Linked DNA regions of Kluyveromyces lactis. The main gene of each other region encodes a partner of the protein of the gene in region 2 in a complex. Links are inferred from orthologs where the notes say so. Each region holds a gene or a part of one and is shown on either strand. Other genes may lie near its edges.

What was found. The genes of interacting proteins can lie anywhere in the genome.
Region 1: MRPL11 (region 2) and MRP35 share a complex: the UniProt entries of both Saccharomyces cerevisiae proteins name them as parts of the mitochondrial large ribosomal subunit. The link is inferred for Kluyveromyces lactis from reciprocal best matches to the Saccharomyces cerevisiae genes MRPL11 and MRP35.
Region 3: MRPL11 (region 2) and MRP49 share a complex: the UniProt entries of both Saccharomyces cerevisiae proteins name them as parts of the mitochondrial large ribosomal subunit. The link is inferred for Kluyveromyces lactis from reciprocal best matches to the Saccharomyces cerevisiae genes MRPL11 and MRP49.

Annotation. Positions count from the first base shown.
Region 1 is NC_006042.1:2,240,888-2,245,700, reverse strand, and holds MRP35 (mitochondrial 54S ribosomal protein bL35m), read right to left. Parts: upstream 2,763-4,813; coding exon 2,475-2,762; downstream 1-2,474. Other genes in the region: NMA111 (Nma111p), read left to right, coding at 1-2,252; protein channel TOM70, read right to left, coding at 3,433-4,813. UniProt on the Saccharomyces cerevisiae protein: Component of the mitochondrial ribosome (mitoribosome), a dedicated translation machinery responsible for the synthesis of mitochondrial genome-encoded proteins, including at least some of the essential transmembrane subunits of the mitochondrial respiratory chain.
Region 2 is NC_006037.1:291,865-297,116, forward strand, and holds MRPL11 (mitochondrial 54S ribosomal protein uL10m), read right to left. Parts: upstream 2,203-5,252; coding exon 1,465-2,202; downstream 1-1,464. Other genes in the region: KLLA0_A03223g (uncharacterized protein), read left to right, coding at 1-171; TRM8 (tRNA (guanine46-N7)-methyltransferase), read right to left, coding at 315-1,151; KLLA0_A03289g (putative nitronate monooxygenase), read right to left, coding at 2,961-4,034; KLLA0_A03311g (uncharacterized protein), read left to right, coding at 4,426-5,252. UniProt on the Saccharomyces cerevisiae protein: Component of the mitochondrial ribosome (mitoribosome), a dedicated translation machinery responsible for the synthesis of mitochondrial genome-encoded proteins, including at least some of the essential transmembrane subunits of the mitochondrial respiratory chain.
Region 3 is NC_006038.1:621,070-626,156, reverse strand, and holds MRP49 (mitochondrial 54S ribosomal protein mL61), read left to right. Parts: upstream 1-2,220; coding exon 2,221-2,613; downstream 2,614-5,087. Other genes in the region: KLLA0_B07205g (cAMP-dependent protein kinase), read left to right, coding at 184-1,551; RKM3 (protein-lysine N-methyltransferase), read left to right, coding at 3,105-4,766; KLLA0_B07139g (60S ribosomal protein uL4), read left to right, coding at 5,063-5,087. UniProt on the Saccharomyces cerevisiae protein: Component of the mitochondrial ribosome (mitoribosome), a dedicated translation machinery responsible for the synthesis of mitochondrial genome-encoded proteins, including at least some of the essential transmembrane subunits of the mitochondrial respiratory chain.

The DNA of each region.
Region 1 (4,813 bases), on a different chromosome or scaffold from region 2:
TTATTACTGTAGAGGGGTATGCGGTCGCTTTACAGGCCGGTGGCTCTTCGGAGGCTTCTACAGATTTCTTTTTGCCTCTTGATCGAGTCGTCAGAGCTCTACAATGCGTACAAACGGATAAACCAATCACCAGAGGTACTATCCAAACTCAGTGGGTATTGAAACCATTCGATGAATGTAGAAGACTTGGATTAAGTGAAGATCGTGAGAAGGAAGCTCGTAAGAGGTTCCCGGGTAAAACTGGTTTGCTGGTGGCTGAGGCTATTCTCAGAGAGGGACCAGCTTATAATAAAGTTCAAGAGGGTGACACATTAATTTCTATTAATGGCACACCAATATGTTCATTTATTCAAGTTGATAACATTCTAGATAGCAGTGTAGGAGATGAGATAATCATTGTGGTTCAAAGGGGTTCCAAAGATATTTCCTTCAGATGCACTGTTGGTGACCTGCATATTATTACTCCTTCACGTTATGTCGAGGTGTGTGGTGCTAATTTCCATGAGCTTTCGTACCAAATGGCTAGATGCTATGCGTTACCTGTAAAAGGCGTTTTCGTGGCAAGTGCCACTGGATCGTTCGATTTGGATCCAAAGGAGAAAACTGGATGGGTTATTGATTTTGTAGATAATAAAGAAACACCAACTCTAGACGACTTTATAGAAGTCATGAAAACAATTCCTGACGAAAAAAGAGTAATCGTGAAATTCCATAACTTGACAGATGTTCAAACACAAAGAATAACCAGTGTTTATATTGACCGTCATTGGTGCAGTGAGTTCCGAATCTATACTAGAAATGACAAAACAGGTATTTGGGATTATGAAAAGATCACTGAGAAATTACCACCACTTCCAATAAAACCACAGAAAGCTAAGATTTTAGATCTACCGATTAATGATAATAAAAAACTTGCAAAAATGTCACATAGTCTATGTGTTGTACATTCGGTTATTGCTATCACCATGGACTCCATGGAACCCGAACCCACAAACGGATGTGGTTTAGTACTCGATGCTGAGAAGGGATATGTTATTGTTTCACGTAGTTTTGTTCCTCATGACTGTTTGAACACGTTTGTCTCGTTCGCTGAATCCATTCTTGTACCTGCTAAAGTTGTATTCTTACATCCTACCCAAAATTACGCTATTGTTCAATATGATCCATCTTTAGTTGACGCCCCAGTATGCACACCAGTGCTAGCTAATGAAAGGCTTGAAAGAGGAGACGAAACTAATTTCATTGGTTACATGTACTCAAACACTTTAATCAGTTCCAAGACTAAAGTCAATGGCATCTCTTCTCTGAGTGTTCCTAACGACATCATTCCTAGGTATAGAGCAACCAATCTAGAAGTCATCTCCATTGATTCGAATATAAGCACCAAATGTAAATCAGGAATATTAGCGGCAGATGATGGTACAGTGAGAGCAATCTGGTTATCCTGCATGGGTAACAAGGAAAAACTGTATTTAATGGGTTTAGACGTAGTGGATATCAAAGAAGTTGTAGATATTCTCAGGGCTGGTAAGAATCCTAAGGTTTCTATTGTGGACGCAGGATTTGATTCCATCTCATTATTGCAGGCTAGAATCAGAGGTGTTCCTGAAGAATGGATTAAGATGATGGAAGAAGAATCAGAAAACAGATTACAATTCATCAGTGTCACCAGAAACTCCTATACAACAATAAAGGAAAGGCTCGAGCCTGGTGATATTATCTTATCAGTTAATGGGAAACTGGTAAAAAGAATGAGGGATATTGGTGGTGTCGTGGGGACTGATGACGATACGGATATCGAATCTGAGTTGTTATTCAAGGTTGTAAGAGATGCGAAGGTTATCGATTTGAAAATAAAAACTGTACAAATTGAAGAAACCACTAGAATTGTCGTATTCGCAGGTTGCGTACTACAAGCTCCTCATCATGCCGTGCGTCAAGTAAAAACGTCTATTCCTAGTGAAGTATATGCGGTTTCTCGTGGTACATCTTCTTTGGCGTTACAGTACGGAATAGAAGTGACCAACTTTATCACACACGTCAATGACCAATCAACACCTGATTTGGATACATTCTTGAAGGTTGTTAAAGAAATCCCAGATAATACATACTGCAAGTTACGCTTAATGACATTTGACGATGTTCCGTTTGCCATTTCCTTAAAGACAAACTATCACTACTTCCCAACGGTAGAATTAAGAAAGAATCCAAAAACAGGTAGTTGGATCGAGAATGATATCTCGGAGACTTAATTTGACTATATATATGATTAATCATTTTTTACCGTTGTTTGCAAATTGTATATAGGTATTTATTAATGATAATTATCCATTATAGTAACCCGCTGATTTTTCATGACATGCTTTACTGAAAATCATGGTAAGAAATGGTGTGTCATTCATTATGGGGATGCCATTGTTATATGTACAGGATTGAAATCGAAACGATATCTTATTTTAATTGCCTTTCATCTCTTAATGGTATGGAAGCAATCTCTTTAAACGATGCATATGTGTGGAGTCTGCTAATGACCTGCCAGATAATGATTTAAGGGAGTTCCTACTCCATCCAGCATTACCATGATTTCTTCCAGCCTTGCCCCTCTTGAAGCTATTGGCTGTTTTTCTCCATCTTTTTGCGGCACCTTTGTGTGTTTTCATCAAGTTTCTGGTGAGGATGAGCGATGAAACATTAGTTTTAGATCCCAGAAGTCCAGTTCTAGCGGAAAAGTTCATCATCGAACCAAAGATAGAAGATAGCATATTTGAAGTAGTTCGCTGGTGGGGTAAATCCTGCTATAGTCCGTTAACAATGAAGTACTTGAATTGTAGCTCACTTTCACTCAGTACCTTGCCATAATCTCACAAGAAACTTTTATTACATACACTTCTTTCAGAGAAAACAAAAAATGTCATTTATGTTGAAACGTATGTAGTGATATACTATCGAAGTGTTTAAAATTACAATTTGATTAAATTGTGAGATGGGGGAGATACATGTATATACAGAAAGACGTATTTGTTTCTAGCAAAATGGTAGAAGATGATGTTTTTGAACCAGGGGTATTTAGGAGCACATATTTTGCAATGAGCTGTTATTGAAAAGCGTTGTTCTCGTATTCTTGTTCTTCTGTGTTTCTTTTTGTCTTGTTTTTGTGAAGAATTGATAACTATTTCTTATTCTTCACGTTGTAATGTTGAGATCTTGTCGTTTACGATTAACACAGTTCACGCTGCTTACGAGTCATAAATAACTTGGGTGAAATGCTACAACTTTTTGTTTGTAAAATCATAACTTTCTTGGTAATTCATTCGTTTAGATGTTGCATGGTATGTTGCCATTATGGTCATTAAGGTGAGACAAAAACAATGAGCTATTGTAGCTTTACTCATATTGAAATGAATTAAATTCATTCGTGAATATCATGCTAATTTACGCGAGACCTTGAGCACGGTAGGCTGCAATAGCTTCGTCGATCTTACCCTTAATGAATGGATCAGCTCTGATCTTTTTCTGGACCTTGGTAGCCTCAGCGAAAGTAGTAGCTTGTAGTTTTTCATCGAAAGATCTTGAGAGATCGGCAGCATCTTCGAACAATTGAATGGCATCATCAATTTCTTCTTGTTGCAATTTTAGTTGAGCAAGACCGATCTTGGCTTGTTCGGATCTTGGATCGATCTTACAAGCTTCTTCAAATAATTCGGAAGCTTCAACGAAGTTTTCAACGGTTGGGTTTCTAATCAAAGCAGTGGCCTTACCAATCATTGGAGCAATACCGACGTGAATACCTGGTAAAGCATCTTCCAACTTGATGGCAATATCGTATTGCTTGATGGCAGCATCTAGAGAGTTCTTAGCAGCCAAAATTTCGGCATAAAAGTTTGGAACTTCTGGAGCAGTTGGGAACTTTCTTCTGGCTTCGCTGAACAAAGTTTCACAATCATCAAATCTATCGTCACGGAAAGCCAAGCAAGCACATTGGATGTAGGCAAAAATGTTTTCTGGATTTAATTCCTTAGCCTTATCGAAATCGGCACCAGCTTCTTTGAAGTTTTCAACAACAAAATGCATTTGACCGCGATGATAGTAAACAGCAGAGCAGTTTGGATCTAATTCTAAAGCTTTGTCAAAGTATTCCTTGTATTGGTTGGCTTCACCCTTGTCAGCCATAATCAAAGCCATGTAGATGTAAGTAGAAGGTCTTGGGTTCAAAGACAACGATTCTTCCAGGTTAATATGCGCGGTAATTGGATCATTTTTGAAGAACTTGAAAATACCCACATGTTCGAAGGCGATGGCAGCCTTCTTCTTCAAAGATTCATTATCTGGAGAAGATTCTAATTCTTTCTTGTATAACTCGGCAGCCTTGGTGAATTCTTCATCAGCCAATTCGTAACATCCGGTTTGACATTTGTACAAGTTTTCCAAACCTTTTTTCAACTCAACATCTGCTTCATTTTCGCCATCGTAATCATCGAAAGAAGTTTCAGGGTTGAAGATACCGAAGAATGATGCCAAAGAGGTGTTAGATGGTAATGGAGATTCTTTACCCTGGTTCTCCTTCAATTTTTCACCCAAGACCTTTGTGGCTTGTTTGTTCATGTTTCTTTCCAGCAGTTGCTCCACGGATTGACCGCTGTATTCACCCAACAAAGAGACAGCCGACAAGTCAAACATAGCATCGGAGAATTGGCCCAAGTTTTCATAAGCACTAGCTCTTCTCAACCAACATTTGGAGTAATCAGGCTTCAATTTCAAAGCGGCAGTGGTATCTTCAACAACTTTTTCGAAATTGTTAATTGAGACGTATGCA
Region 2 (5,252 bases):
GTTCTTCAATGGAAGGAAGAGAGAACTCAAACTAAACCATTGAAAAAATTTATAAGAAGAGGCTCGGAGACTGTCTGTTTGATATATAATAAGGTACGAAACTTACGGAGCACCAATGATACAAACCAAATCGAGTATGGTGCCGTATCCAATAATCAGCCTCCGAACTAATGATATTGCCACTTGTTTTCAACTGCTTGTTTTCAATAATGCATCTTTTATAGGTACTTAAGGTATTCACTTTCTAACTCGTTTTTGTACAAATATTCTTGAATAGTACCCGAAGTAATATGTAGTATTATATACGACAGATATTAGATTATATCTGGAGTTGGTAATCTTACGAAACATGCTATATATTTATCACCTTTATTTCTTTCAACTTTCTTACCTTCCTCTGTAGCATTTCTCATTATGCTTACACATTTATCCTGTGCTTCCCATTCTTCAGAAAGCCTTTCGAATAGAGGATGTTCTTCTAAGTGTTTTACCATCCATTCATGTAGATCTAGAACATCGGTGATTGTATAAATGATACCACCCTCTTTCAACACATATGCGTACTCACTTAGTAATGTATCAGTGACGATTCTTGCTTTATGCTTTCTTTGCTTGAAATGGGGATCTGGGAAACAGAAAAATATCTTGGACAACTGTCCCTTATTAAAAAAATTTGGCAAGAATTTCATTGCATTACCTCTTAATACATTAATGTTTTGATATCCGTTTTCCTTCGCGTGGTTGGTTCTCAATGCAATAATTCTATCTTCGACATAATTCGTTACTTGAACACGAATCTCCATACCCAAGATCATTTCATCGGGAAATTCTGGAGATAAATCGATCATAAGACCACCATAACCACATCCGATATCCGCAATGGTAACATCTTTCGTCATTTTCTTCTTTTCACTATCGTAGAAATGAGGGTACAATTTTGACCAGTCCATATGAGCTGGGCTTATTGGATACTCCAACTGATGATCACTGAATGGATTCGAATGTGCTCTTTGTCTGTAAAACTTTTTTTTAGGTAAAGATAGTTTATCCACCTTTTCAATCACAGATTCATCGATCTTGACATGTTTCAATTCTTTGCGATGATCTTGCTTCTCAGCACGATACGCCTGGCGTCTAGTACTAAAACTCATATTTTCTAACAAAGGCAGTTATAGGAAATTTGAGTCACTGTTAGAATTCAATTATGTTTATTCAACACACATTAACGGTTGGTGGAAGTAACTGCTTTGAAAAATTGTAACCTCATCGCCTAGGTTTTCTCGACTCAATTGATTCAGTGCATGTTCAAAAACTTTTTATTTCTTTACAATATACAAATGAGATCAAAAAAAGTCACGTGCAAAGAATATGTACAGGAGTTTATATTAATATGTGATGGGTTTATTTAAGTACATCGATACGTAAAAATGATTTATATTACATTTCATGATGGGGCAAAAGACTTTAATTTCCTTCGCTGTCATTCTCGTTTTTCTGCTTATCTGGGTTAATATTATCTTCGTGAGACTTTAGAGTTAGGTACAACATGTTTGAGCCAGCTTCTAAAGTTTGAACTAAACCAGCACCGCTCAAGACGTGCAATAGTCCCAGTAATTCTGATTGTAATTGACTTTTTGTTGGTAGATCCTTGAAAGAATCCAATTGTCTCAAATCGTACGCATCATTTTCAACTTTGGCGCCAATAACGAATAACTTGTCTTGGGCTTTTTCCAATAATTTCATGACTTTTTTTACCTTTGCCGGATCAGTCTCTGGGAACGAAATTGCTGCCGTAGGACCTTTGAACAAGGGCAGTAAAGGATGCTTCCAGTCTTGTTCTGAACGTTTCGCTGGAGCAGCTGGGTCATTTTTGCGTGAGTTTCTCAAGTATACTTGGAACAAATTGTTTCTCAAGATTGTTAACTTGCCTCCTACCTTATTAATTTCTTCTCTGAAGTGTGCATTCTCCCCTTTCATCAAATTGTTATGATGACAAAACAACATTACCGGACTGGTTTCCATCAGGTTTTTGTAAGAGTCGATTAGGAAAGTCTTACGAGAGTCCAAAGGCTTTACTGTTCTTCTAACTGCATCCGAGACAGTTCTCTCAATTTGCGTAGAGGCAAACCTCCTAACCAAAAACGGAGAAGCATATGAGACACGGGATACCACCACTGGGCTTCTTAACAAAAGTGACAACATGGCTATTTTGAGTGGTTGGTGATGACCTGAGCTGTGGATTCGAATCACTTTAAGCGAATTCATTCCCACCAATATATCTCTTCACTACAATATATCAATCTTCAGTGATTTTTCAGATTTTTCATTTTTTTTCAGATTTTTCAGTATCGTCGAATTTCAATACTTGGTACAATAAACCGACGAGAGGCATAGTTAGATTCAATGTAAGAAGGTATGAATGGTAATTGGAAGTGGTATGAGTGCCAAAATCGGTATCAACAATGGAGAAGGGAATGAAGACTTTCTCGTATATTTTCCATGGCAGCAAAAAATGTATATTGGTAATTTTTTATATATCTTCTTTATAGTATATATAATCCCGAATGAGGCAAAGGTCGATTCACGTGACTGTTCAAATTAAAATGATAGAGGAATTGGTGAGTTCTGCTCTTCTTTTCGAACTGCAAACTGTCATTGCTATCGTCAACATCATGCTTAAATAATGTAATCCGTTATAGACGTCTCCTGTCCAAGCTAGGAGGGATGTCGAAAGATTAGATTTCTTCCTTACAAAAGGTAGTCCGGGATTTATAGGGTCGTAGTGAAATTGTGAAGAGATGCAACTCTACTTCGTCATTGAAAAAATAAATGCAGTCATGTAACTGACGAGAATAATGCACAATTAGTGTAACTTCATCGTTCCATTGTGGAATTTGTCGCTATTCGGGATTTTCGTACATTTGAAACAGCATAGCTCTGTGCTGTAACGGTCTGGAAAATTATCTCATCTCATCGACAAGGGTTTGCATTAGTTGTCTCGCATCCATATCACGGATACGGCTGACATTGGATCCTGCCCAATGTGCTGCGAAAGAATTTGCGGTACCATCATGATCTGGAATAGACACGGCATTTAACTGCTTCCCCACATCGTATGTAAATGGATACCCTGGATGTATCACTCTAGTTGGAATATCCACCTCAGTGTGCCAACTATTCAACAAAGCTCGCGCCGGACGACCTGATATGCTGCTTGTGATTTGAGTTATGTCATTTCTTGTTTTGTCAAATAATAATTTCCTGTAATTTTCTGACGCAGCCGATTCTTTGCATTGGACAAATGCGGTTCCTAATTGAGCACCACTGGCACCTACTTCCATCATTCCTTTAATATCTTGACCAGACATTATTCCTCCTGCTGCTACTATAGGAATAGTTGTGCCCAACTTTGCTTTTAGTAATTTCACCAAATCTCTCGTGGATATTGCCGGATCTAATGATGCGTTAAACATTCCCCGATGACCACCCGCTTCGACACCTTGAGCGATTAGGATATCTATCCCGTGCCCAATAGCCAATTCAGCCTCACTTAATTGAGTCACACTTGCCATCGTGACAACTCCCGCTTGCTTCAATGATTTTAAAGTGCTCGCAGATGGCACTCCGAAATGGAAACTAACCACTTTCGGTTTCAATTCTAACACCACTGCAAGCATTTCTGGATCTTCCAAGAAACTGTTATAGATCTTGGTTAATTCCTTTTCAGGTTTAGTATGGAACCGAGCAAATATTGGCTTCAAATATTCGATCCAATTGCGTGCCACCTCCACGTTCAACTCTTCTGGCTCATGACAGAAGAAATTGACCTGAAATGGACTCTTGGTTAGCTTCTGCGTCGCAATTATGGCGTTTCTTGCTTTTTCGACAGAACTTGCTCCAAGTCCAAGCGATCCTAAACCACCAGAATTAGATACAGCTGCTGCCAATTCCGGTGTGGATACTCCGGCCATTGGTGCTACTAGAATAGGATACTTGATCCCCAGAATTTCGGTTAAAGCTTTCTTGGTTGACATTACAAAGTACCCGTGGTTGTGCTAGCTCTCGACCTTGGACTAATTGCGAATAATTACACCATTATTCATGAACTCCGCGGAGATATAGATAATAATAACATGTTTGCGTATTCAATTACATCTGGGGATACTTAAAAGAAATTACTGGAGACATGAATCGCTTTTGCCTTTTTTCCTGTTACAAGCCTTTGAATAAAAACCGATCCAGTTCGAGATTTAAGGAATTCAAAAACAATAACAAAGGAATATCTAGGTCGATACATGCAGAGAAGTAACGTAGGTCTCCAGGCTTAGATTGGAAGTACTCCCGATCGCTTAGTTCACTGATTTTATTGAGTAAGAAGGCATCTATAACAATTTTAGTATAGGAACGTTCCACCTTTTACATCCTATGCTAACAGATCTGTTCTCTGCACTGTTCTCAATTGAAGATGGAACAACAGAGTCAGTGACTCCAAAATATGGACATGGCGTCCAGGAAGACGATATAGATCTTCAATTAAGGGCACTTATATACTGCTATCAAAGGCTCAAGGTAAAGGAGATGAGCCCATTCTATCCGGTTGATTCTACAACTGAGGATGGAGAAACATTAGGCGATGGCAGTGTAGCCCTGGACAAAGTTTACAATCTAGAACAATTTATAGCCATGTTACAAGAGGATCCGCATCACATACTGGTAGATTGGTGTAAAAATAAGGCTAGGCTAATGTGTATATTATCAAGTACACCGGTGAGGACGGTAAACAAGTTACCGAAAGGATTTTCCTACCTTATCTTGGAACCGGATAGTTCGGAAGATCTTTACTTTCAAAGACTAGTGTATGATAGCAAACTGTACCACGAACATGATGTACCACTAAGTTGGAAGATACAATGCCTTCGAGAGATTATAAAGAAACAGTATACTCTCGTCCCAACTAGGAGGAAAAGTTTTAATAAGCAGGATCGATGGCAGATCATGATCAGATATCTATCAAAGCTGGCGGAACATGTTCAGATTGAGAGGGTCTATAAAGCATACAGATCACAGCCACCAGCAACAAGAAGACTTTCAAATAGTAGCGATGGCAGTGAGCAGTCGATGCTCACAAGAGGCCTGAAGAGTAAACCATCCATGACAATTTTAAGACTCGATAGAAGTGTTACATCAAGATCAACGACTCACACAAGCGCATTGAGTCGAAATCAACCCAATTCGCCACTAATTCTGTCCAG
Region 3 (5,087 bases), on a different chromosome or scaffold from region 2:
TTTCAACATTCAGATCAGACCTTGGTTTGAAGGAAATCGGATAAAGGCTGGGCCTTATTTAGAACTCTTTCTAGTGAGAGTATAAGAGATATATCACTGTTTTGACTCTGTGCCAACTTTCTCTTTTTTTCCAATCTGAACCGCTATATCTTGCATGAGGCAAGACCTGCAAAGAGAAGAAAGATGAGACCTTTTGACAACGAATCCAAGGGATTTCTTTCTGGCCGAACAGATCAAATTGAATTACCTGTGGTACAGGCTGTTTCAACAAGTTCAAATTCTCAAGAACCACTTCTTTCTAGCAAAGACCCACTACGAGATGGAAGCAACGTGGGGAATAGGTTGAGTGGAAACAGCGAAACTCTGATAACCAACTCTGATGCTGATCATCCTATGGAGACGGATAATAATAACTCTAATCTTAATAATACTAATTCCTCTACTAATACTAATGATAACAAAGATTCGTCATCCAATTCCAGCAATAATGAAAATGGGGACAGTAGCAACAATTCAAATAGAAGGCATAGCAACCATTGTCACAAGCATAACCATCTAAGCAGCACTTCTACCCTCAAGGCAAGAGTTACTTCTGGAAAATATGCATTATATGATTTTCAGATTCTGAGAACTTTGGGTACAGGTTCGTTTGGTAGAGTTCATTTGGTGAGATCCAATCACAACGGCAGGTTCTATGCAATGAAAGTTTTGAAAAAAAACACCGTTGTCAAATTGAAACAAGTGGAGCATACCAACGATGAAAGAAATATGCTAAGTATAGTATCCCATCCTTTCATAATTAGAATGTGGGGAACTTTCCAGGACTCACAGCAATTGTTTATGATCATGGATTACATCGAAGGTGGTGAACTATTCTCTCTTTTAAGGAAGTCTCAAAGGTTCCCAAACCCGGTCGCGAAGTTTTATGCAGCAGAAGTTTGTCTTGCGTTGGAATACCTACATTCTAAAGGCATCATTTACAGAGATTTGAAACCAGAAAATATCCTTTTAGATAAGAACGGACATATCAAGTTAACTGATTTCGGGTTCGCTAAATATGTTCCTGATGTCACTTACACTCTCTGTGGAACACCGGACTATATCGCACCTGAAGTGGTAAGCACAAAACCTTACAACAAATCTGTGGATTGGTGGAGTTTTGGTGTTTTAATCTACGAAATGTTAGCAGGATATACACCTTTCTACGATTCAAACACAATTAAGACCTATGAGAATATTCTAAATGCTCCAGTAAGATTCCCACCATTTTTCCATTCTGATGCTCAAGATCTAATATCGAAACTCATCACAAGAGACTTAAGTCAACGGCTAGGTAATTTACAAAATGGAAGTGAGGACGTAAAGAATCATCCGTGGTTCAGCGAGGTTGTGTGGGAAAAACTACTCTGCAAAAACATTGAAACTCCATATGAACCTCCTATTCAGGCCGGACAAGGCGATACCTCTCAATACGATAGGTATCCAGAGGAAGAGGTTAATTATGGCATTCAAGGCGAAGATCCGTACCATAGTATTTTCACCAACTTTTAGCAGGCATACTTGCTCATGAAATTCAGATATCAACATGCCTCTTATCTTGCATCTACACAATATGTAAACTTTAACACGCCTTTCCCCCCGTTAGTCCCTTTTCTTTTTTTTTTTGTTTTGATATATCGGCTCATTGCCTTCAGAAACGCTGCCGTTATTTGATACATTCCTTTGAATGACCATCGTACAATACTAGATGGATTGATGTACGCACTTCCAATTCAAAATTCGTTTCATTCGTTTTGCTGTACTCTCCAATGGATGCTCGATGCAATAATCTTATTTTTGGAGTATTTATCTATCTATAATCAATGGCATTTACATATTTTGAATGCATGTATAAGACTTCATCACAAGTCCTTCCCTCACGATCCATGCTACATAAATTGTAAACTGGGGTAAGTCATGGCACATTCATTTATGTTTTGGACGTAACTTGCTTCTGTCGAATGATTTCACGTGACCAATGAATTTTTTTCCAAACTATTGAAAATTCAAAAAGTTCAGTGGACATGTCCAGTTGAAATGAGAATGATTTTACGAAATAGATGATTGAAGTGATATTGCTGAAAGTGAAGGGTCCTGGTTGCTCTACTTTATCGTCAAGGTTTATTTTACCGATTGGATACTTATACTCATTGTCACTCTAGAGAAGATCATTAATAAATAATGTCAGGAATCGTTAAACAACAAAAATTTTTGAACAAGATCAGTGCGACTACCGTGAAACCTCAAATTATATTAGATGTATCGAAGTACAGTGCATTGAATGTGAAGTTCCAGTATCAGAATTTCAATGGCCATATGGGTGCCCGTAAGTTCTGGCACGAGTTTTTGCCTTCTCTGCAGTTTTACAACCCTGCGTTGCCAATCAATGTGACCAGAATTAGAAACGATGATAAAAAAGTCGATGTACCATGCATACTAGAAGCTATTGGATCCGATGGGAAGGTTGTAGCTGAAGTTTCAATGAAGCACAAACACTCATCTGAAATTATGGATGAAGTGCTACAGAAATTGGAACACAAAAGAGTACCCCAGGAAGAAATAATAAAGGTATGAGCTCCGACCTTTGACAAAGAAAAACAAACAAACTGGAATACCTAAATATACTACTTTCAAAGTTAGGTCCTGTACATATGTATATAATAAGATACTTTTCATCCGATTTGATGTCTTATTCAAATGACATATCCTTTTGAGATGAGTTGACTCTCTGCCCAAGGATCGTCAAGACATTCAAGAACACGCGAGAAGAAGATTTAAAACGCCAGTATATGGTTACCAGGTGGTTATTTAACTTGAATTTCAGAACGCCTCTTACATCTAATTGTCATTAAGACATCTTACATTAACAGCGACTTCTTCATCTGCGGAAATGGTTTTCTGCGTATTGTTCAGTTGAAATTTTTCAATCTCGAAAATGATAAATCGCTTCAGATCTCATCATCTCATCTCATCTCATCGGTTGACCACAGAAATTATCAACACCCCAAAGAGGCATATAGTAGGGGCATTATTCACAGGTGAAGACTCTCAACCCAACAACACGAATGTCTAATACAGACTCCAGTGATACAGATGATATTCTAACATTTGTACTGGAATCCAAGGGGTTTTTCCACACTGCCGGCTGTGAGATTAGAAGATCTGATTATGGTGGTTTAGGAGTGTTTGCATTAAAGGATTTGAAGGAGGACACTGTACTCCTTAGGATTCCGAAATCTTCTGTTTTCACTGCAGAAAATAGTAGCATTGCCAATCTACTGGTTGATAGCGAGGTAAAAGGCATGTTGGCATTAAACATTGCATATATTTATGAAGTATTCATATTTCAAGTTGAAAGCCATTGGTACAAATATTTGAAGAGCATTTCACACAGACAAAATGGGAGTCTATATCTTCCACCGGCATACTGGGAAGATAATGAGAAAATTTTGCTGAAGAATACTGCATTGGATGTTGTATTCGAGGCGTTGTCTCCACAAGAAGAGATAGAAAATGGTTTCAAAGTTGGTATTGCATTATCCCGTAAGTGGAACGAAGAATTTGGGCTGAAAATACCGTATTTGTTCGACTTCAATTTAGAAGATCAGAAGCAAGTCTCTTCGAATTTTAAAGAATTTGCTGCTATAGCATTCGCCATATCGTCAAGAGTATTTGAGATCGACAACTATCATGATTCTGGATTAGTTGCCATAGCAGACCTTTTTAACCATCACGCAACGAGGCCCGACGTAAGGTTTGAGAGCATGTATGATGTGTGCGATATGTGTGGGGAATTAGGGGATTGCAAGCATGTGATTGCTGAGACGAAGGCATTGGATATGGAGATGGAACAGAGAACTCAAAGAATAACACCAAGGGAAACCGGGACAATAAGCTTGTCAGTTATTGAAGAGTTAGAAAGAGAATTAGACCCTTCAGATTCAGAATCTGTGGAGGAAACTGTTTCTGATGAGAATGCAGAAGAAACTCCTGAGGCAATAATGCCCAAGAACATTGATACTGATGAATGTGTAGATATCATTCTTTCAAACGATGTCAAAGCGGGAGAAGAAATATTCAACTCGTATGGTGACCATTCCAACTCGTACCTATTAGCCAGGTACGGATTTTGCATCGAGGATAATCCACACGATGTAGTTGATTTATCGGAAGAGTTGGTGGAGTATGGACAAAAGAATTCCAAACGGATTGGAGATAGGATGGAATGGTGGGAGGATGAAGTACATGCGGTGTACAAAGAGTGGTACGAGGCAACAAGAGAGGAGTCAGAAGAGGAGGAAGAGGAGGAAGAGGGAGAAGAGGGAGAAGAGGAGGAGAACGAGAACGAGTCCCCAGCCTCCGACTCTGATTCGACGTCCTCAGAACTTTCTTCGGAAGAAACCCCAGAAGAAAATGACGCCTGGGGATACGTCCACCTAAAACACTCCGGAAAACCGAATGATGTGCTCCTAGCTATCTTGAACCTACTGACAATGTCTCCATCAATGTACAAGAACCTTTCGAGCGCCAGAGGAGATGTAGAGAAACTTGCCAAGAAACTACCACTGTTGGAAGCCAAACTATCAGGCGACGGGAAAAGGTTACTGAAACAAATATGTGCTGCCAAGAAGTACGCAAAACTGCCGTCAGACCTTAAAACTTACAACTTGCAACAAATAGAATTACTGATAAACTCTGAGAAGCAGATCCTAAATCGAGTCAGGTAGGATAGCTGCATCCGAGCATATATACACATGAATATAAACGTATATCCACACAATTAATCACGTGACTAGAACCAACCCTCATCCCGTACACAATGACCCATATCGCAAAAGAAAAATTTCTTTCAAAGTGCATCGTGGATGAAATTTTTCAGATATAAAAAAGTGAAAAATTTCGATGCCCACAAGAGAAGAAAACTTTTCAACAATAGTTAATTTGGTATAATTTAGATCTTTTGCATTACAAAGTTTTACTTTCTCCCTCCCCATCATCAAGTCCATTTGATTACCTATCAGTAATGTCTATTCCTCAAGTTGCAGTTC